Linked DNA regions of Rhinolophus ferrumequinum. The protein of the gene in region 3 interacts with the protein of the main gene of each other region in a pairwise test. Links are inferred from orthologs where the notes say so. Each region holds a gene or a part of one and is shown on either strand. Other genes may lie near its edges.

Region 1 (7,737 bases), on a different chromosome or scaffold from region 3:
ATCCTCAATCACATCTACAAAGTCCCTTTTGCCATAAAAGGTAGCATTGACAGTTTCCGGGGATTAGGATGGAAGCTCTTGGCAGGGGAGGAATTATTCAGCCTGCCACATTTATGTGGCATTCTAGAAAAGGCGGAACCACAGTGACAGAAAACAGACCAGTGATTGCCCGGGGCCAGGGTGGAGGTCACAAAGGAACTTTTTTGGGTGGTCAAAATGTTCAATGTTTTCATTTTGGTGGTGGTGACATGACTGTACACATTTATCAAAATGCCACAAAGTAGGAGAAATAAAATAGGAGAAAACAATAGCAATATATAAAAGTGACAAGAGATGAATACCCGAAATATAAAAGAAGCTCATAAACTTAAAAAAAGCAGACAGGGCTACAACCTAATCCACAAGACTACTGTCACTTCTGACACAACGGCAGAGTTCAGGGCATTCCCCAAACCATCTTCAGGTTCAAAAATTCAGTAACTAGAAGGACTCACCAAATGCCCTGCAAACTGAATGCTCGTAGTTACAGTTTATTACAGCTAAAGGGTATAGATTGAAATCAGCCAAGGGAAGTGCACATACGGGTGATGGAAAGGTTCTGGAATTAGACAGTGGTGATGGCGCACTCCAGTGAGTATACTAAAAACAAGTGACTTGTATAATGTTTTAAAGTGTGAGTTTTAAGTTCCAAAGGTGGAGCTTCTGTTGTCCTCTCCCCAGGGAACCACGAACTCCATGCATTACTTTACCAGCACTGATGTGTGACAATACACATGGAGTATTTCCACCCAGGTAAGCTCATTGCCTTGGTGTCTAGGGCGTTATTGGGGCTCCATCACATAATCGTGGTTGACTGTCCATGTAGCTTATCTCAGTTTCCAGCTCTTCCAGGTGGAGCTGAATGAGCTGACACCATATGTCCCCACCCTAAACCACAAAGTTAGTCTATCTGGTGTGGCCAGATCCCACCCTAAATCACACTGGTGTGACTAGCCCCACCCGAAACAAAGACATTTCTCTCAGGCATGACATTCCATGGGTTCAGACATTGCCTTCCAGAAGCTGAGAGCAAAAGCCAGACCTCTCTTTGGGAAAATTAAAATTCTTTACTACAGAATAATGCAAATTTTAAATTCACAAAAAAAGGAAGTATGAATGGCCAATAAGCTTAAGGAGCCCTACTAGCTAAGTATTAGAAAATGCAAATGGAAACAATGAGATTTTAAAAAAAAAATGCTCATCACACATACTCAGGGGTAGGGAATCCCAAGAAAAGTTGGTCGGCAAATTGGGAAAATCGGCTCCTTGAGCTCAGGTGGTTGTAGTATCAGCCATCACTTTGTGGAAATGATTCATCATGGAGAACAGAAAACAGTTTATATCTCGGGATTCGGGAATGGGAGAGCGAAAAAAATTCCTGAGAACGGGCGGAGGGAATTCCAGCCTGGAAACCCTACTCAGGGGAGTGGGCAAATAGTTAAGCTCACTGCTCGTCGTGGGAGTGTTAGCTAGCAGGGTCTGTTGGAGCAATTCGGCTTTTTTTTTTTTTTTAAAGCGCAAATACCCTTCCATCTAGTGGTTTTACCTTGAAAACTGGATCCATAGTCTTACATGTATGTGCAAAGATGTGTAAATAAGAATTCTTATATACTAGTACCTGTAACGAGGAGCTATTGGAAACCACTTAAGTGTCCACCAGTGGCAGGAAGGATAAAGAATTACGTAGTAGATACTCTATCAAATATTACCCAACTTGTAAAAAGAATGAGGGCAGCCTTCATGTGCTGTCACAGAGAAATTTCCAAGACATAATGTTAAGTGAAAAGATCAAGTTTCAATATACAGAGTATAATCCCATTTTTTGGTAAAATTTTTAAAAAATGACGTACAAATCAAGTCTCTGTGTTTCTATGTATCATATGGTAGTGAAAAACAAAAGATCTGCTAAGATACTCCAAACGCTTCTCAGGGACTCACTAGAGGTGAGGGTGAAGGTTTGGAGATGTGCAATGAAATAAATTAATGAATTAATTGTGCAATTAAAAATAAAGAAACTGAAACCAGCCATCCCCACAGCACCCATCACAGGGCCCGTGGGAAAAGTCCTCAATCAGCCTTGAGGATTGCTGATTACAATCCTCAACCTCCTGAAGTGGGCTTCTGGAAACTATTGGATGAACCCCAGTGGAACTTCTTTGTGAATTTTTAAAAACTGTAAGTCAAATGGTGTAACTGCCCTCCAATGGTCTGTTCTTTATAATAAAATCCCTTTCATTGCCGAGGGATTAATCCCCAGGTGATCTGGTCCCTGGCTGTGTCTGGAACCCCATCTCTTCCTAGTTCCCTCAACGCATAATCTTCTGTCTTTCCTCAAAGACCCCCAAATTTTTCCTGCCTCAGGCTTTTGCACTTATGGTGATTTTCTCTGCCTGGAATGCTCTTTTCCTGCCTGATTCTTATTCATCCTTTAGATCTCTACTTAAACCTTTAGACTTCCCTGACCCAGCTATCTAAATGACACTCCCAACCCTCAATTAGTATTCTTTTCCCCTGGCACCCTGGTCTTTTCCTGTAGCAACTGAACACAATTGGTAATTATGCATCTCCTGGAATGCGGCTTCGTGTATTTAGCCTGTCTGTCTCCCCCGTCAGACTCCCTGAGGGCGGGGTCTGGTTGGATGGCCCACAGCCCTGTCCCCAGTGCCTGGTACCCACGAAACATCTGCTTAGTGTTTGCATCCCCATTGCCTCTCGAGTATGCCCCGCCCACCCCAACGGAGGGCAGGCCCAGCACACAGTATGGGCTTGGCCAGAGTAGGGAGCCTTTGCAGAAGTGAGAACTGAGGCAAGACATGTGTTGCGGGTGATCTTCGTGGCGCTGGCCTGCTCAGACCCCAAGGAGGAGGGGAGCAGCCCTGAGAATGAGCGGGCGTTCGTTTCCGTATCCTGGTTCTGTCCCTCCATCCCACCCCAAGGACCTAGGGCTCTCATGGCGCCAGTAGAGACTGGGTGGGCAGCTGGTCCCTGCCTGGGGACAGGTCCCTTCCCACTTTTTCTAACTGGGGGTGAGTGAAGTTGGTTTCCAAGAAAATGTCTAAAAAACAATACAGTGATTGAGTCTTGCTTGCTGCCATTTGAAAGGAATGAAAGTGGGATGAACCAAAAAACAAAATCCAAACCAAAACCAAAACAAAACTACTCTACTGTTTTAGAATCTGTCGCAGAAACAATCACCTTATTGTTTTCTGTGTCATAATAAAATTAAGGGTTTACCCAAGAGCTCTGTTCTGCACTTGGGCAGAGAGTAGGCAGAGAGGCTGGTCTCTGAGTAATGATTTTGCAGCTACCAAGAAGCACTCCTTGTTCCCTGAGTACCTTCTGGGGGATGGATTCAGGTGTGTTTGGGGTAAGGGGTTGAACATCGAGTTGAGTGGAGAAAGGGTTAAATCAGCATCAACCAGTGATATTTCCAAAGCAGATCTTGCCACTCTCCTGCTTGAAACTCTCTAGGCCTTAGAATAAAATATTACCCCCCGACCCCCAATTATTCAGTAGGCTGAATGACCACCAAAAAACATCAGCCCCTATCCCAGGAACCTGTAAATTTTACTTTATAAACAAGAAGGGCCTTGCAGATTAAATTAATGTTTGTGATATGGAGAGATTATCCTGGATTACCTGGGTGTCCTTAATCCAATCACAAGTGTCTTTGCAAGAGAGAGGCAGAGAGAGATTTGATACATGCAGAAGAGGAGGCAATGTGACCACAGAGGCAGAGAGTGCAGTGATTGATGTGAATGAAGTCAGGGAATGTCAGCAGCCACCATCAGAAGCTGGAAGAGCCAGGAACAGATTCTCTCCTAGAACCTCCAGAGAGAGGTCTGCTCACACCTTGATTTTGGCTCAGTGAAACTGATTTCAGGCTTCCCGCCTCTAGAACTGTAACAGAATAAGTTTTTGTTCTTTTAAGCCATCGAGTTCACAGTAATTTGTTCCAGCAGTCACAGGAAACTAATACAATCAACTAAATAGCCCTTTGTGACCTGTCCTCACCAACGCAGCACATCTCACCCTCACGCACTTTGTCCAAGCCACCAGGATCTTCTTTCTGTGCTTCAAACTGTCCAGCTTCATCCAGCCTCATGACTTTGTTTTATTATAGTCACAGCATTTGTCACTATCTGAAGTTAGTTTTTTTTTTTCTCCCCGGTTTACTACTTGTCACCACACGAGAAAGTAGAATCCAAGAAGGCCTTGTTTGGCTTGTTCCCTGCTGTATCTCCAGGGCCCGGATAGGACCAGACACTCAGCAAACATTGGTTAATAAATAAAAGGAATAATCTGTGCAAGGCTTTATAGCCTGAGGGTGTGTGTGTGTATTTCAGGGTGCAGGTGGAGCAAGGAAACTAACTCCAACATCATCTCCCACCTTCTGACTGACCCCCCCCCTCATTTATTTTGCATAACCTCTGTGAGGCGAGGTCGTTTCATACCCTTTATGACAGACAAGGAAACGGAGGCTCAGCGATCTTCTGTTACTGCGTAGTATGTTCAGAAGTACAAGCCACATCAATTGGGTCATGTGCACCCACAGTTTATCCAGGCCCTCCCCTCCTGGATGCTCGGTTTCCCGGGACTCCTTAGGAGTAGCTAAACAGGGATGCTCATTCTGCTTTAAGGAGAGCGCAAAGAGACGCAGCAGGGGCTCGCCGCCGTAGGGCACCCAGCGCCCTAGAGACACCTGGAGAAAGCAGGTAGAAGCTATCAGGAGGGCGCCGAGCAGCGCTGTCCATTCCTAGTAGAAGGCTTTCCTCAGGACAGAAACGCGCAGCTATCTAGACTCGTTCTGACGGAGCCATCTCACTGACCGTGGCCTCAGTTTCCCCGTCTGTAAAGTGGACGCGACTACAAGTGTCTTGAGGCTGGACCCGCGGCGGTGAGCGAAGGGTTAAAGGGGCGGGTCCCGCGACGAGGGCGGGGCCGGAATTTCTGCTGCACCTGGCGCCTCCAGGCTCCTTCCCATGACACCGCGCTAAACGCCCGGAGCCGAGCGGCGGCGGGAGCCGGAGCCCCCCAGGAGGAGCGGCGTAAGAGCCGGTGCCCGACGCGGGAGGGGCGGCGACGGCGGCCGGTGCGACCCCGGGAGGCGAGCGGAGCTGCGATGGCCGAGTTCCCGTCTAAAGTGAGCACGCGGACCAGCAGCCCAGCGCAGGGCGCCGGCGCCTCGGTCTCGGCGCTGCGTCCGGACCTGGGCTTCGTGGGCTCCAGCCTCGGTGCGCTCATGCTGCTGCAGCTGGTGAGCGCGCGCGGGGCGGGGTAGGGGATCCCGGCGGGCTTGGGGGGTCGGGGGGCTCCAAGGAAGCCCTCTGTCGCACGCCGTACCCGCCCCAACCCAGGCTCGCACGCGACGCGCCGTGCCTACCCCGGGGTGCCTCTAGGACTAATGCCCTAGGTGATCAACCTGGAACCTCACCTTGAGTCCCCGTTGCTGTCTGCGAGCACACGCACCATACACCCTTGTTCAGAGTGCCCGTTCCAACGCACCCTCACTTCCAGGTGGTCACTAAAGGCCACCCACAAAAGCTCTCCAAGAGCCACAATCACTGCGAATGACTCTCAGTCTTTGCATGGCCAATGCCCAGCCCTTCAGCGGACCCAGCCTGAGGCAAATTCCACTCGGGCTAACCCTCTGCGGAGCTCCCAGCGGCTCCGTGTGGCTGCACCCCAGAACAGTCCTGGTCTAATCGAGAGGGCACATCCGTTCCAACACGTACACTTAGGCACCGCTCTGTGGGCTCCGGCGCAGGAGCTGGGCCCTTCTGGCTTCCACTGGGTGACCCGCCGGGTTCCAGCCGGTTTGGCTGGCCTCGCGGGCTGAGATACCGTGTCCAACACTGGGGTGGGGGGTGGGAGGAGTGACTTGTGGGAAGCCAGAGGTAAGACTCCTATGTCTTCCAGACCCTCTGTAGGCCCCAGGTGAGGTAGATCGATGGGAACACCCCTCTTAGACCCGTCCACACGCTTGTTACAGGCCGGGGGGTGTCAGCTTTTTTCCCCTAGTGCCCTCTGGTGCGAGTCAGGAAGCTGGGTGGCCGCCCCTATGAGAGGCTTTCCCCCAGCCGAAGGCCAGGATCCATTGCCCTTTTGGGCCTTTCCAAACGTCCCCCTATTGCTGTGTCCTAGCAAGGCTGCCAAGCTCAGGCTGGAAGGCTGGGTCGTCTTGAGACCGAACCTCCCTCCTCGGCCCTCTCCCCACCCCAGGCGAGGGCCTGCCTCCGGCGTCAGTGATATGTATCATTTACGAATGTCTCAATCCCTCTCTGTGAGCCCCCTCCCCCCCCCCCCCCAGCCTCACATTCTCTTGAGGGGTTTCTTTAAAATGTAGAATGTCTCCACCCCGGGAAAAAATGTGGAATTGGAATTTGAATGTCAGGAAGTGCAGCCCAGAAATCTACATTTTTAATTCACCGAGAGTTGTTTTGGAGATGGGGGTGGGGGGGTGCGGGGCCCCGATGGTGAGGTCAAGAACTAATTTAAATATGCAGGTAGGAAGACCCTGTCTGGAGCTGTGTGCTGGGCTCCTGGTGCTTGTGAAGCCAGCAGGAAGGGAACCTGGGCCCAGGGGCATGAAAGGGCAGAGGAGAGGGAGATCAATTCTGAGCCCTGAAGGTTCATGGAGGAGAGGTGGCCTGTGAGCAAGGACTTTATTGAAATCTGAGGCCAACGTAGGGAAGGGTGTTGAAAGGGCAGGGCGCTGTGGGAGCCAAGGTTTGGGGGTGGAAAAGTGGAAGAGAAGTTTTAGGGACTAGCCAGCAAGTTGGTGAAACTGGACTTGAAGCACTTGTTTCTGGGGTGGCCAGAAGCCGAGGGCCTTGTGTCCCTCTGCAAGAGATGGTGACAGTATTCCATTGGCAGCCTTAGGAGGTTTTGGACCAGCAGAGGGGTCTCTACTGGGCTGAGATGATGAGGGGTGGGTGGATCCCTAGGGTTAGCCAGCTCCTGGTAACAGAACCTGAGCATCCGGCTTCTTTTGCATTTCAACAATGAGAATTGGAATTAGAGGAATTGGAAGAAGGAGCATCTTGCTGTGCCTGCAAGGACCTTGGTAGCTTCCTGTGGAGGAGGCTTGTGTCTCTGATTTGAGGGTGCCTGTTTTCTCAGCAACCCACCCCTGAGCATTTGGGTCCCATTGCACAGATGTGGACACTGAGGTCTAGATAGAAGGTAGGACTCACCAGGATCCTGTGGTGGAGCTTGGCACTTAGGTCTCCAGACTCTCGGACTGGGTGTGGGTGGGGTGGCCTTCCTCTGCTTTCCCTGCAGTGCTTTTGGGGGAGGGGGGCGAGAGGGAGGATGAGGGTCCCCCATCAGACTTCTGAAGAGCTGCACCTTCACCCCCCCCCTTTCTTATGCCTCCTTCCCCACTCCGGTTCAAGCCGATGTTTCTCAATACCTGGCCCATGCTGGTATTATGAGCCTTGAGCTCCCCCGGCTGAGGCAGTCGGACACCAGTTGTCTGTAGGCCGCTCACGACAGCTCTCGCTGGCTGCTGGCCATTCACGCTGGCCACCGGCCGCTTATGTTGGCACATGGTAGCCCACGGCCAGCTGCACCTTTTAGTGCCTTCACCAATCTGCTTCTGGGAGAAACTGCTTCCTGAGCTGTTTCTCTAGCAACAGACAGTTCCACTGGGTCTGAGATGGGGTGTTCACACAATGGGCACCAGCATCTGTTAGG
Region 2 (6,976 bases), on a different chromosome or scaffold from region 3:
TGGCTGCAGGCACCGCCAATGTCCACTCTGGGCCACCCTGCCACGGATGACATCTGAATCCAGCTTACGGACTTCATTGTCTCTGCCCCACTTTGCTGGCCTCTGCTCCCGGTTTTAGAATCCACTTTCTGGACTCACGTCCTTAGGATGACATCTGCTCGTCTGTGATACCTGGGGCCCCAAACCTAGGAATCTGCAGGGACTGCCAGGGCTGGAGCTCTGCAGTCAGCCCGCGTGGGCAGCAGTGGCAGCATACCCAGGTGACAGGGCATATAGGGCTTCTACTGGCCGACTCTACACTGTCCTCTCCAGCCCGGCATGTCCTCTGCTCCTGTGGGGTTAGAGTCGCCACTCGCCTCGATGATGATGTGATGTTCTCCCCTCCTCCTTCCCCGATGAGAGGAACACACGACTCTATATGCCTTGCTAGGAACGCTTACTGAAGAAAAAAGCCAGTGCAGAGCAGCGCATACAGAATAACCCAACTAAATACATCCATGTGTATGGCGGTCTCCCCTTACCTGCGGAGGGGCACGGTCCAAGACCCCAGTGGATGGCTGAAACCGCAGCCAGTACCAAACCCCACATATACTGTGTTTTTTCCTATACATATGTACCTATGATGAAGTTTAATTTATAAGTTAGGCATAGTAAGAAATTAACAACAATAACTAATAACAAAATAGAGCAATTATAACCATCTACTATGATAAAAGTTATGGGAATGTGGTCTCTCTCTCAGCACACTAGCATGAAATTCTTTTTCTTTCTTCACAGTTTCACGGATGGAAGATTTGTTCTAACCGTAGATCTCAGCAACCTCAGCATACAATTTTTCTTTCCTCATTAAATCGAGAACTTCCATCTTTTTCACCTCAAGGAAGCACTTTCTGGTTCTCCTTGGCATATCTGAAGAGCCAGCATCACTACCCTTGCGCTTTGGCCATTATTGAGGACGATAAGTGTCTCTTGAACACACACTGTGATACCATGACAGTCAATCTGATAACCAAGATGGCTGCTAAGTGACTAATGGGAGGGTGGTGTATAAGGGACACGCTGGACAAAGGGATGATTCATGTCCAGGGCGGGCCAGAGCGGGCCAGAGAGAGAGTTCATTATGCTGTTCAGAACGGTGCACAGTGTAAAACTTATTGTTTATTTCTGGAATTTTCCATTTAATATTTTCAGACCATGGTTGACCACGGGTAACTGAAACCACAGGAAGCAAAACTGTAGACTGCTGTCTGTACATATCTGTAAAGCGCCCATGCACTTTACTCCTCTGGGAACTCCATTTGCAGGAGCCAGCACTGTTGGGGAGGGTACACGAAATGGCCCCTCGAGCCCGGGTGTTTCCTGATCCCTGAAGCCGCAGCCCCCAGACCTTGCCTCTGGCTGGTCTCTCCTGGACTCCGAGCCTTTCCCTCTCCTGCCCCCCAGCCTGGAAGTCCAGCCTGTCCTTTGAGGTCCAAATCCACAGTGGCCTCTGTGACAGGCCTGGACCCCTCTCCTACTTGACAGGTCAGGTGGCCTCTCCTTGCTGGTACCACAGCCTCCCATGATCACCTGCTTGAGGACAGGCTGACTGTGGAGGGGAAGTGCTTGCCAGTCCCTCCAACAGTCAGGGACCTGGGGAGGTAGTGTCACCCGTGGCTTCCATGATGGACATAAAGCATATGATTGACTCAACACAGTCCTGGCAATTCACGTGGTGGTTCTGAGGTGAGGGACACACCCAGGTCCCGCACAGAGACCTTGCAAGAGCAACAAGATGTCATCAGCCTGGCAGGATGCCCACACTTGTGTTCCCTGGAGGGCAGCCCTGGCAGAAACCTGCCTCTTGGGTGGGGTTTCAGCTGGAGCCACCAAAGTGCTCAGTCCGCCCTGCCTGGCTCCCTTTCTGGTTGTCGTTAATGGGCGCCCTTTAACCAGTTTGCCAAAAGGTCCCTCAATTGAACCCAGCCTTCCAGGCAGATGAGGACAGTGAGAGGGCTGGCCAGGTCCAGCTGAAAGTTGGAAACACTTCCTATCTGTCTGTCCCTGCCTGAGGCAGCACTGCCACTTTCAGAGGTACTAGGAAATGTCGCCCACAAGCTAGATATTTCAGGTGTTGGAAAAACAAACTCCTTTGCCCTGATTTGTTCACCAGACTTGAGTGTCCCCATCAAAGCGGATGGTGACAGTAGCTCAGAGAGAGCTGAGCTCGGTGAGCACTGTCTGTAATGGGAACACGCCAGCACCTGGCAGGAACGGCACCAGAATTCAGAGGTGGGTGCCCCAGAGAGTAACCAACGCTGGGACAGGTTCTCCTGTGCAGCAAGGGCAGCTCGCTGGGCTGTTTTATGGGAGGTTGTCATAAGCTCCCTCCTTGGGGCACCCGCATAAGTCAAAGTTCAAAGTCAGCTGACGAGACAATTAAGAAGAACTGCAAGACTTCCTCTCGTCAGGAAAGACAGAACCCCCCCCCCCCCCAATTCGGAACTTTAGAAAAGCACAAACAAGAGGTCGGAGACAAGAAGCGATATAATTAAAGTCCGTGTCCAACATTATCTTGAGGATTCAGAATATTCTAGCAGCTGTCCCCCGCCCCCTATCACGGCCCACGGTGGGGAAAGGAGGAAACCCACCAGCGCTGCAGGAGCCCGGGGGAGCGTAGTAGGGACTGGGCTGCTTCCCGGGCGGCCCCATGGGGCGATGGGGACGCAGCAGCCCCGCAGGTCCCCCTTCCTCCCTCTCCCGGGGGACGGGAGCGCGGCAGTCCCCGTCTGCCCCCCGCTGTCCGCAGGGGCGCACTCACCAGCTCCGGCAGGAAGAAGGCGTAGGGGATGGTGAGAAACAGCGTGAGCCCCGTGGGCACGTCGGGCGGCGCGTGGGTGGTGGGGGGCGGTGGGTCCCGGGAGGCCATGCTCGCACCCTGCCTGGTGCCCGGCTCCGCAGCTCCCTCCCGCTGCCCGTCAAATATCACCTCCTGCCCGACACACCCATCGGACGTCGCCTGGGAGGGACAAAAACGTTCCAGCCGAGCAGGTCCTTCCACTCGCTCTAGCCAGAAATCCTCAGCAAAAGGAGGGCTGCGCCCCAGGCCGGTCCGGCCTCCCTGGCGGGGCCGGGCGGGAGCGCTGGGTAGGCAGGCTCTTCCTTCCTAGGAATTTTTGAATCCTAGAGCGTGTTATTCTAGGCCAGCAGCAGCCACTACCCCCCAACCTTGTGCCCAGAGTGTCGGCTAAGGCCGCTGGCCACGACAGACACGTTTATTTAGCACCTACTATGCGCCGGGCAATCTGCAGACCGCTCTGGTGTTCCTCACCGCCCTGCACGCGGCTAGTTCGCACCTTTCCCAAGGGCAGAGACCAAGAATCTGTGAGTTCAAGGCAGGGACCATGGACCTGCTGGGTCTCCTATGGCTCTCCGCGGCTCCTTCCTTGTCCACCCCTGGGGGCCACCCCCAGCCTCAAACCAGAAAGGGAGGAACAGCCCTCATTTCCAGCTCCTGTCCCCAGGGACTTGGGGACTTGGTGACTCCTTCTTTCTCTGCACCCTCCTGTGGTACTCTCTTCTTTACCCCACACAGCAGATGAGGAGGACGCCCTCTGTGGGAGAAATTTGCCGTAGCAGGCACCGGAGAAGGGCCTGCTGGCTGGGTGCTGCCCCAAGCCCCAGCCCTCCTCCCTCCCGGCGCTGGCCCCCCAGCCAGTGCAGCCAGGAGCTGGGCTTGGGGCCAGGAAGCTCTTTCCTGCCTCCAGGCCCGCCTGCTGGCCCAGCACAGGGGCTGTGACCCAGCAGCCAGGCAACTCCTTTCACTCTACAAACAGGTCCTGGAGATTTGAGCCCTTTTTCTCTCTACCTTAGAATGAATCGACCATCTGTAGAAAGGCCTGGCACCCACAGTCTGCTTGGGGGTTGGGGGATGGGTCCCTTCTCCCTACCCTCCTGGCCTCCTCCTCAGCGCTCCATCTGGAGGGGTGTGGGGAGTACTCGGGGAATTCGCTGTCCTCCACAAATGGCCAGTGTCTGCTCCTTAGCAAGAGTGCTGGTTCCAGGCCTGCCCTCCCGAACAGGTGGGTGAGCAGCCACCTGGGCCTTTGCCTAGCCTGGGGACAGCCAGGGGAGGGGGGTTTGGACAAACAAAGCCAAGAGCAAAGGCACTGCAAGGAGTGGCAAGCGCACCAAGCGCACCTCAAGCCAGTCTGCTGGCGGTCCCGGGAAGACGTGAGGCCGGGGCTCGCCTGCCCCCACCCATCTCCTTGGCAGGATGGGCCTAACGCAGGCATTGCCCCGGGAGTCTGGCCCTTGCCTCCTTCCTGAATGTCATAATAAGCCCTGTCCACCCTTACGGGCTGCAGGATCCATCTGACTTGACCACCGCCGACCAGGTGGCACAGCGGGAAGAGCTGAGGGGAAAGCAAGACGGAAAGCTTTGTCAGTCTCATCCCTGGTTTACAAAGCAGAGGTGAAAACGGGAAAGGAGCCCCTTCCTCCTCCTGACGCACTTAGTGTCAACACGGTTATGAAAAATCCAGTTATAAAAAAATCCAGCATATTTTAAATGTTTACATTTAACCAAGTGATTACGTTTAACCAAGTTTTATCATATGCGACAAAGTATAGTGCACTCTCCTCAGGCTATTTAAAAGAACACTACAGGATTCACAAGACAATGAGCGCAAGATGCCAGAATGGAGGAGGTTAGCGTGGCAAGACCATGTCCACCTTCCAGGCCAGGGCTGGGGTGTGACTGCTCTCGGACACAAGGTCAGAGTCCGGTGTGAGGTGGGTGGTGTAGAGGGGATGCCAGGCCCAGGAGAAAAGGCCAGGGCCTCTACAAAGGGCCCCTGATTTCCACATCATGGCCTGAGAATTAGTGAATACTGAGCACCATGATCATCATGTCCATTTTCTCGTTTGTTCGTTGGGGCAGGTTAAGTGAGATGTTATATGTGAAAATCTAGAGAATGCTTCTGGCATGTAGCAGGTACTTCACAAGTACTTGTTTTCCATTCCACCTGAAATCACTTCTCTTTTGGCTCTCTTTCTTTCCACAGCAAGACCAGCACCTCCTCTCTTAATTCTGATTTTAAAAAATTATTTCAAAATTTTTATTGATCTATAATACACTTACAGAAAAGTGCACAAAACATACAGACCATGAAACCACCACCCAGAGCAAGAAGTAGAACTTTGCAGACTCCTCCTCAAACACCTGCTTTCCTGATGTCTAACCCCAAAGGCTGGTTTTGCCTGTTTCTGAGTGGGCTCCTTTGTGTCTGGCTCCTTTTACTCAAAATGCTGCCTGTGACACCCCCCACGTCATTGTGTTGCTGTAGTCACTGCTGCACAGTACCCCAGTGCACAGACACACTGCATTATTTACACATTCGATTGTTTATTGACCCTTGAGTTCTTTTAATTTGACATATGAATTAATTAATAACAGCTATGAACTTTCTAGAACAAGTCTTTTGGTACATCTATGTGTGCATTTCTATTGGGAATATCTTAGGAGTGGAACTATGGGTGATGTGGTATGTGTTTCTAGCAGATAATATCAAGCTATTTTACAAAATGGTAAAACCATTTACAGTCCCAGCAACAATGCAGACCCACTGCTTGTAATTGATGTTTGCATGTATATTATCACACACCAGGTGTTTGCATGGTGTGTATTTTTCCATCCTTTTACTTTTAACTTACCTATGTAACTATATTTATAATGGTTTCATTTGTGGTTATGATATATTTGGGTCCTCCCCCCCATCCTCCTCAAATTTGCTGTCTTTAAATTGGTGTGTTTAGACCATTTACATTTAATGTAATTATTGATGTTTGGATTTAGGTTTATTTTTTGTTTGCTCTGTGTTTCATTTCTTTGTTTCCTCTTTCCTGCATTCTTTGGGATTTTTCAAATATTTTTAGTATTCCATTTTTAATTTACCTATTGAGTTTTTGACTATGCCTCTTAGTATTGTTTGTTTAGAAGTTGCTCTAGGAGTTATGATATACATAGTTAACTTTCCATTCTACTCAGAATTAATATTTTGTCACTTCAAAAAGAGTGTAGAAACCTTATGACCATATGGGTCCCTCTACCCTTCTGCTTTCCAGGTTGTCTTATGTGTTACATATACATAAATTGAAAACCCCACCAAGCAATGTTATGATTTTTGCTTTCAAACACCATATATATTTTCAAGAACTGAAGAGAAAAAAATAATCTATCATGTTTACCCAGATATTTACCATTTCTGTAGCTGTCCCTTCACTCCTAACATCCCAAGCTTCTCTCTGGTATCATTCCCTTCTGTTTGAAAGCTTCCGTAGGCACCTCTCCTAGAGCATGTCATTAACAATGAGTTCTACTTTTTCTTCATCTGAGAATGTCTTTTATTTTTATTGACATACAACATTATATTAGTTCCAGGTGCACAACCTAATAATTCCATATATATCTATAATGCGAAATGATCACAAATCTAGTTAACATCCATCACAGCACATAGTTACAGAATATTTTTTCTTGTGATGAGAACTTTTTTCTTGTGATGAGAACTTTTGAGATCTACTCCCGTAACAACTTTCAAATGTGCAACACAGTATTATCAACTATAATCACCATGCTGTGCATTAAAAAATACGGATTTACATGTGTAGGGTAGATGTTGAGGAAAATTTGCCGTCATTGGTTGATGTGAGCTTTCGTCTATTAGTTTTTACCTGTTCCTGCATGTGAGGTGATTTCTGTGCTGTGATCAGGGGTTGAGTAAATTCCCCCTTTTGGTCTCATTCTCCTGAACAGGGGAGATATCGGATGAGGTTGCTGTTTTTTTTTTTTTTCTCCTTCTTCCGCCTCCCCCCACCCACTCCAGTTTAAGCTGTTGTTTCTCAGCCTAGTTGTGTAGGACACAGCTCCCTGGCCCGTGCAGGTATTATGAGCCTTGCGCTACCCCCCGACTGAGGCAGTCGGTCACCGGTCTTC
Region 3 (7,251 bases):
CCCCAACTATAACTGTACAACCTTGCAAATGCAAAATTAAAATTCTAGTAGCAAGTAGACTTACCCCTAGTATTTTCATTTCTTCTTTAAAGTTTGTGGTTGTTGTTCCTATAGCTGGAGTTATGATTTGTACATTTCCTTGCCCCTGTGGACTGTTAGCGAAGATTCCTGGAGAAGTGATGACGTGAGGCTGGCCACTCTGAGCTTGGTTTCCTAGGCTGATGAAACTCGGAAGTGGTTGAGGCCCAGAGGCCAGAGAGTTGCTTGCTAGGTAAGGATTATGTGTGGCTTCGTAGGGTCTAGGGTGGGTTGTTGGCTTGGCTGACATCATTATGTCCTAAGTATTATATAATATAACAAAATGATACATTTATCCAGAAAAGAAACATCTGATTACAAAGGATACTTTTTAAAAGTGGAAACAAATTTTAATCCACAGAAGGTTATTTTAAACAAGGAAAAATGAAGGATTGCATAGCTGTAATTCTTGGAGTGATTCCCTATAGCTCTCAAATAACATTTGAAATCAGGAGGTTTTATATCCTGTGCATCTGGTTTCTGTGGCCATTTAGTGCAGAAGATTTCCCAGTCTGCTACTTCACTAACTCTGGGGCCTGGAGCAACTTTCTTTTTTTCTTTTTTTCCCCTTCTTCCACCTCCTCCTCTTCTACCTCCCCCCAACTCCGGTTCAAGCCATTGTTTCACAGTCTATTTGTGTAGGACACAGCTCCCTGGCCCATGCTGGTATTATGAGCCTTGCGCTCCCGGTCTTATTTTACTATAATATAAAACCCGGTAATATAATATAATATAATATAATATAATATAATATAATATAATATAATAAATATAATACCGGGTCTTATGTTAATTTTTGCTCCAAAAGACTCATTAGAGCTGATTGTCTGACTAGGTCTTATTTTCTGGGAAACACGGTAGCTATCATTGTATTACTAGAGCCCAAAATCTTCCATTCTGGTTTAAGCAGTGGATGTGGCCATATAAAGTTTATAATAGAAATTGCACTTCAAAAAATCAGTGCCAAGATCAAGGAGAGAGGAGACAGGTGCTCAGGGTACAATAATTTTCTTATGTTTTTTTAAGAGCATTAAAACAAATTATTTCTGCATGTATATAATCTCATCACCTCCTTTCTTTGCTATTGATCATTGTAATTTTTTTTGTCTCATTGAGAAATTTGATTAAAAAAGAAACCTCAAGGCTTTTTATTTACTTATCAACATTTTTAATTTTCATATTTGCTATTTAATATCTGGACTAAGACCTATGAGTTCCATATAGAACCCATATTATTAATAGTTTTATAATGATTATGCTAATCCCAGATGCATTTTTACTGGGTCAGGTTCTGATTTCATAAAAAAGGACTAAATTGCTAAGCTAGTCTCAGTTCTTTTACCCTTAATGTGTAAGCAGCTTTACTGGTTACATCTAGTTGTCCCCCATTATCCCTGGTTTCACTTTCCATGGTTTCAGTTTTCTGTGGTCAGCCATGGTCTGAAAATATTAAATGGAAAATTCCAGAAATAAACAATTCTTAAGTTTTAAATCTCATGCCGTTCTGAATAGTGTGATGAAATCGCACACCGTCCCCCTGCATCCTTCCCAGGACGTGACTCGTCCTTTTGTCCAGCATATCCACACTCTATATGCTACCTTCCTCTTAGTCACTTAGCAATCAGCCATTTTGGTTATCAGATTGCATTCACATAACTTTTATTACAGCCTATTGTTACAATTCTATTTTATTATTACTTATTGTTGTTAATCTCTTATTGTGATTTATAAATTAAACTTGATCATAGGTATGTACGTAAATGAGAAAAAACAGTCCATGTAAGTTTCGGTACTACGGTTTCAGGCATCCACCAAGGAATTTCCCTGTGGATAAAGGGGGACTGCTGTAGTTTGGTACAAAGGAAGGAAAAGATGCTTGGGGGAACAACTAAGTGATTATCCAGTTGAAATGAGAATAATCCTGTAAATGATAGAAGAAAAGGGAAACTGATGAATAGACTCTTCATAGAGTCTACCTATTGGCTTAGAGCAATTTTTCTCTTGATTGTTGGTAAAATGTTTATTGTCAGTTGTCTTTTGTTCTAAATATTAGAGCAACTACAGTTATTTTTAAGCACAAGAAAGACATCAGAAAATATAGGGTCTGATGAAATCAAAAGTACAGGACTGCAGGACTATAGAATAAGAGGAAATCTCCCAATTTGCTTTGAGTAGGTAATTTCAAATAAAAATTGGAAAAATATTACTTTTTTTTCTAGTTTCTTTCTGCCTCACTTTTACATTAATTTCACTTTTAACATTAGAAGGCAAAGATGACTACTGTCTTTGAGAAGACGTATAGTAGTGAAACATAATCTTAAATCATTTCCACAGTATTTCTCAGTACATCCACAAATCAAAATACTGATCTAGTGAAAATGAGTGATCTTTCCCACTTATTTTTCTGTTTTTGCCATAAAAAGCACCTTAATTAAAATGTATTTCAAAACCAAGGACTAACAGTATTTCTACTGGGCTATGTCGTAGCCACATTATCATCAAATGCTCACAATGGGACATTGCTTCCTCCTTGATTAATATTCATGGAATGGCATTTGAACCTCCTATGTCACCTTTCTTAGCATTAGCTTTTGATATTTTTTCTTGAACTATCTTTTACCTGTTTTATAATAACTGACGTTCTCTTTCATGTTTCATCCTCTCATGGTTTTATTTTCCCTACTTGTCTACTTGTCTAACATAGAGCCAAGAGTTGGCTTCATCTCTGCAGCTTAGAGAATGGAGTGCTGCAAAGAACCCATGGAGACAGACCAACCCACTGTTTATGCCCATTAATTTGGATGAAAAGTTAGGTAAAGATGTTTCAAGGGACTTACTCTTTCCTTTGGCTCCTCTCTGCTTTCTCTCTTCCTCTTCTTCAAGTTCTGTGCTGCTCTGAGGTAGTTACCTGGACATTGTAAGTCCTTTTTACTTCCTTGCTTCAAATGAAACTGTGCCCTTTGTTTATTTAATTCCAAAGTCCATTTGCCATTGACTCTCTAATACCCCAAGTGGTTACGCAGGCCCATCTGTAAATTTTGGAATATACTGTGTTTTCCCACCTTCTTTTCCTTTGTACTAGAAGCCCTTCTGACATCCCTAAACACTGAAGTGCTCATATTCTCCAGCCCCTTTACTCTTTCTGATACTTGTTAGTGCAGTATCACTTTGCATTTTAATACCTTTTAAATTAGATAAACAAAATTGGAAAATGTAGGCAATAAAAAAAAGAAAGAAGTGAAAGGGAAAAAAGCATCCATAATCCCACCACACACACAGTCAATGATAATATTTTCATTTACATTTTTAAACTTTTGTATATAAATATGTATTTTACATAGAGACATATATGATTTTGTAAAATCATCAAATTAGGATCATATTGTTATATATTTTGCAACCTGCTTTTATAACTTATAAACATCTTTTCATGTCAATAGACATATTTATTGTATATCTTAATAATGGCATAATATTCCATTTTTTGGTTGTCTCCTATTACATTCTAATTATTTATTTGCAGTCCTGTCTCATAGATACAAAATGAGTGCTTTGAGGGCAGAGATCCTTAAGGCAGAGGCCAACATCTGCCCGCATCCCCAGCCCTGTGTAGAGAGTACACAGTGTCTGCAATGTTGTAAGACTCATTATTTGTATGTTGAATGAGTTAGTGGAGTGAATACAGATTCTTCTTCCATGTCTGTGTTTTTCCTTTTTTTCTTATGTATTATTGTAGACTTTCTCTAGTGGTTTTCTATTTTCATGTACTCATCTAAAATGGAAAAAAAAAGATACTGAAAATTAATTAATGCTATGAACTTAAGAAAGTTACAATTTCAGGCCATAACATCACTCAAAGGCTGAAGGTAATTAAAGGAACAAGAAATCATGGTGACCAACTGGCAAGGTATCACATGCTATCCAGACAGCACAAAGAGAAAGGTGAAAACGAATGGTGTTTTGAACGCTTACCGCGTTTCCCTGAAAATAAGGCCTAGCCGGACCATCAGCTCTAATGCGTCTTTTGGAGCAAAAATTAATACAAGACCCGGTCTTATTTTATTATATTATATAAGACCCGGTCTTATTTTATTATATTATATAAGACCCGGTCTTATATTATATAAGACCCGGTCTTATATTATTATATTATAATATATATATTATAATATAATAAAATAAGACCGGGTCTTGTATTAATTTTTGCTCCAAAAGACGCATTAGAGCTGATGGTCTGGCTAGGTCTTATTTTTGGGGAAACAGGGTAGAATGCCCTCCCTTCTTCTGGGGGCCTTCCAGATCCCCTCCATGCAGTAAATCTTACTTAATAAGACACCTGCACTGTTTTCTCTCCTTCCTAGTCTCATAACTGTGTGGTGTGTGCCATTGGTGATGTGATTCTTCTATGTATTATTTTGAGCTTTATTTCTTCAGCCACCCCCTAACTTCCAAGAAGGCAAGAGATACAGCATCACTTCTTTTTTAAAATTTTATTAAATTTATTGCGGTGACATTGGTTAATAAGATTATGTAAGTTTCAGTGTACAGTTTTATAATACATCATCTGTATATTGCATTGTGTGTTCACCACCCAGAGTCAAGTTTTCTTCCGTCACCATATATTTGACCCCCTTTATCCTCTTCTACCTCCTGCCACCCCCTTCGTCATTTCATAACCTCTTTTGTATCAGTAATTTAGGAACATGCTTGTAAAATTGAACTAACCATTAAATAAATGTGACTAATGTTACTAGTTAATTTAATTTTTGAATTTAATTTTTGAAATTAAATGCTTAACTTCAATTTTATAAGGAAATAGCAAACTTCTCTCTTAAATAAACAAGGAGGTCATAACTCAGAGTTCTGAGTTCTGAAACAAGAATTACCAGGATCTATAAGTGTTCTAAAAAAATGTGTTCCCTACCTTTAGTGATCTTATCAACTAGCTTTATGTCCAGCATTACGGCTCCTTGTTTATAAAACAGGCTGCATTCTGATGCTAGAGTTACAGAGAGCCAGATACAAGTTTCTGGAGGGGACGTGGTGAGAGATAGGTGACCCAGGAGGAAGGGCTCAGTACAGAAACCAAGACCCCGTCATGTAAATTGAGTCAGAATAAAGACAGGAGGAGGAGAGCCAGAGTGCCTCCTAAGTCTCTTAGAAAGTCTATGGAAATAAAACAAATTCTAAACCTCAATCACTGGTGATCAAAGGATGGTAGTATTTTCGCTATCAGGTTAGAATTTGTTTAGAAATAATATCATGTGCCATTTGTTGGACATTATTTAGCTTTATAGTAATCTCCTTTATTTAAGTCTTAAAACAATCCTGCAATCGATTTAATTGCCATCTTATACATGGAGTAACTGAGTCTACTCTGGCTCTGACTGAGTCTGTAGGTCAAGATGAGCCAGCTAGGCAGTGGAGTCAGACAGAGGCAGAGCGCACTCGGGAGTGAATACATGGGGCTTCTGCTGGATGGCTTTTTACAAGGCTTGGAAACTGTGTGGTGTCTGAGCTTGAGTAGCGGCCTCTGGTGGCAAGTGTGGTGCAGAGAAGCATGTGTGACATGATGGTAACAGATTTCACCAGCAGGCGTCCTTCCTGGTTAATCTTTGCCTTTAATTTGTGTGTGTGTGTGTGTGTGTGTGTGTGTGTGTGAATGTTTTGGACAGTTACATTTTCACTCTTTCTCTGAAATATCAGAAGTTACCTTGGAATCTTGGAGAGGCAAGAAAATGTGTCTTTCTGCTTGTCCCCTGACACTGCAACCCTGGGAAGTGACAAATGGTTGGGAATCTTATAGCAGTACTTGTACAGTATGTATCAGGGTCAAGTATCTTGAACCTCAAGAAAGTATTTGTCTACTGAAGACCTTGAATTCTGTTAGTTAAGGATTAATTGGTTTTGTGACTCAAGTTAGCACTAGAAAAGTACAAAAGAACAGAACACATTTTAAGATTCACTCAGTATTTACTGAGGGCCAGCTCTGTGCCAGCCACCACCCTAGGCTCTGATAAGTGAACACGATAGACAGTGCTTCTCACATCCCTCGCTTCGGTGTCCTGTAGTGCTCTTTTTCCTACTATTCTGCACGAAAGCTTCAACTCATCGGGCAAGCCAAGTTTCCTAAGATAAGATCCTGTCATCAGAGCCCTTCAAGTTCATGGATGGATAAAAGATCTGGCACTAATTTAGGGAGTAAGGGTAAAGGCTAGAGACATTGTTAGATATTTAAATTCTGTTCATGGCAGGGTGGGGGATGTTTCCAAAAGATTAATACCTTTAATTTCACCAATGGGAACCTATTCTAATACATGCTGATGCTATGTAAAAAGCCACTCATTTAAAAAAAGTTCTGACATTTATTCTAATTAGCAAAGGGTCTGATGCAGATCTGTACCACTAATTGCCTCTGGAGAATAGGTTTTATAATTAGAATGCCAGCTAACTCTCACCATTCCTAATTTAGGTGGTAGCTGCATTGGTTTCTAGCTTAATGCAACTAAAAAGTGACCAATATTACACTGTCTACATTGAATATGTATTTGAACTACAGATATTATAATGCTAGGCCTTACCCACAGATATTCACACTGAATGGGGTCCAGAATTCTACATTTTTAACAATCATACCTAGTTGAAGGTAGGCCTCCTGCTATATTTTCAGAAATCACTGGATTATTGTAGCGACCTGCACTACACAAGCCGTGGGAAGGCGAGGGAGGCAGCGCAGGGTTAAACTATAATAAAGAGACAAAGACTCAATACAGTTAAATCACAGAGGACTCACAGCCTCAAGAAACTGGAGTTCCGAATCGGGTCGACTGGCGATATTTATTGATTACAAACAAAGAACATCGCATGATTTAAGGCAGGGTCTGTGAAACTCTTACACCACCTGAGAAAAATAATTTCAAAACCCAATAATTTATCACAAAACAGCCAAAGCATAACGTCCCAAGATGACCAAGGTGTGGTATGCACCTCCCTGGGGGAGAGAGTCTCTCGTGGTGAAACAATGCCATGAGCTGAGCAGGAAAGAGCTTGGTCTTACCGCTCTAATGGTCCTCTCTCACAATTAGGTGAGGGGGAACAGCAAGAGTCAGCAGCAGCTTTTCTCAAGCAGGGGGAAATGGAGGCAGGGCTCCTTCCCATAAGTTGTATAGCAGC

The links.
Region 1: the proteins of MS4A12 (region 3) and PLLP interact in binary tests that used the Homo sapiens proteins (3 or more experiments, as listed by UniProt). The two-hybrid records come from large-scale screens. The link is inferred for Rhinolophus ferrumequinum from reciprocal best matches to the Homo sapiens genes MS4A12 and PLLP.
Region 2: the proteins of MS4A12 (region 3) and MALL interact in binary tests that used the Homo sapiens proteins (3 or more experiments, as listed by UniProt). The two-hybrid records come from large-scale screens. The link is inferred for Rhinolophus ferrumequinum from reciprocal best matches to the Homo sapiens genes MS4A12 and MALL.

What each region holds. Positions count from the first base shown.
Region 1 is NC_046298.1:9,959,433-9,967,169, reverse strand, and holds the start of PLLP (plasmolipin), read left to right. Parts: upstream 1-4,709; 5' UTR 4,710-5,068; exon of another isoform or gene 5,069-5,099; 5' UTR 5,100-5,161; coding exon 5,162-5,296; intron 5,297-7,235; exon of another isoform or gene 7,236-7,334; intron 7,335-7,737. UniProt on the Homo sapiens protein: Main component of the myelin sheath that plays an important role in myelin membrane biogenesis and myelination. Plays an essential function in apical endocytosis. Regulates epithelial development through the regulation of apical endocytosis.
Region 2 is NW_022680356.1:1,497,536-1,504,511, reverse strand, and holds the start of MALL (MAL-like protein), read right to left. Parts: upstream 3,029-6,976; 5' UTR 2,909-3,028; coding exon 2,801-2,908; intron 1-2,800.
Region 3 is NC_046294.1:10,120,480-10,127,730, forward strand, and holds the start of MS4A12 (membrane-spanning 4-domains subfamily A member 12), read right to left. Parts: upstream 3,027-7,251; 5' UTR 2,916-3,026; intron 338-2,915; 5' UTR 332-337; coding exon 65-331; intron 1-64. UniProt on the Homo sapiens protein: May be involved in signal transduction as a component of a multimeric receptor complex.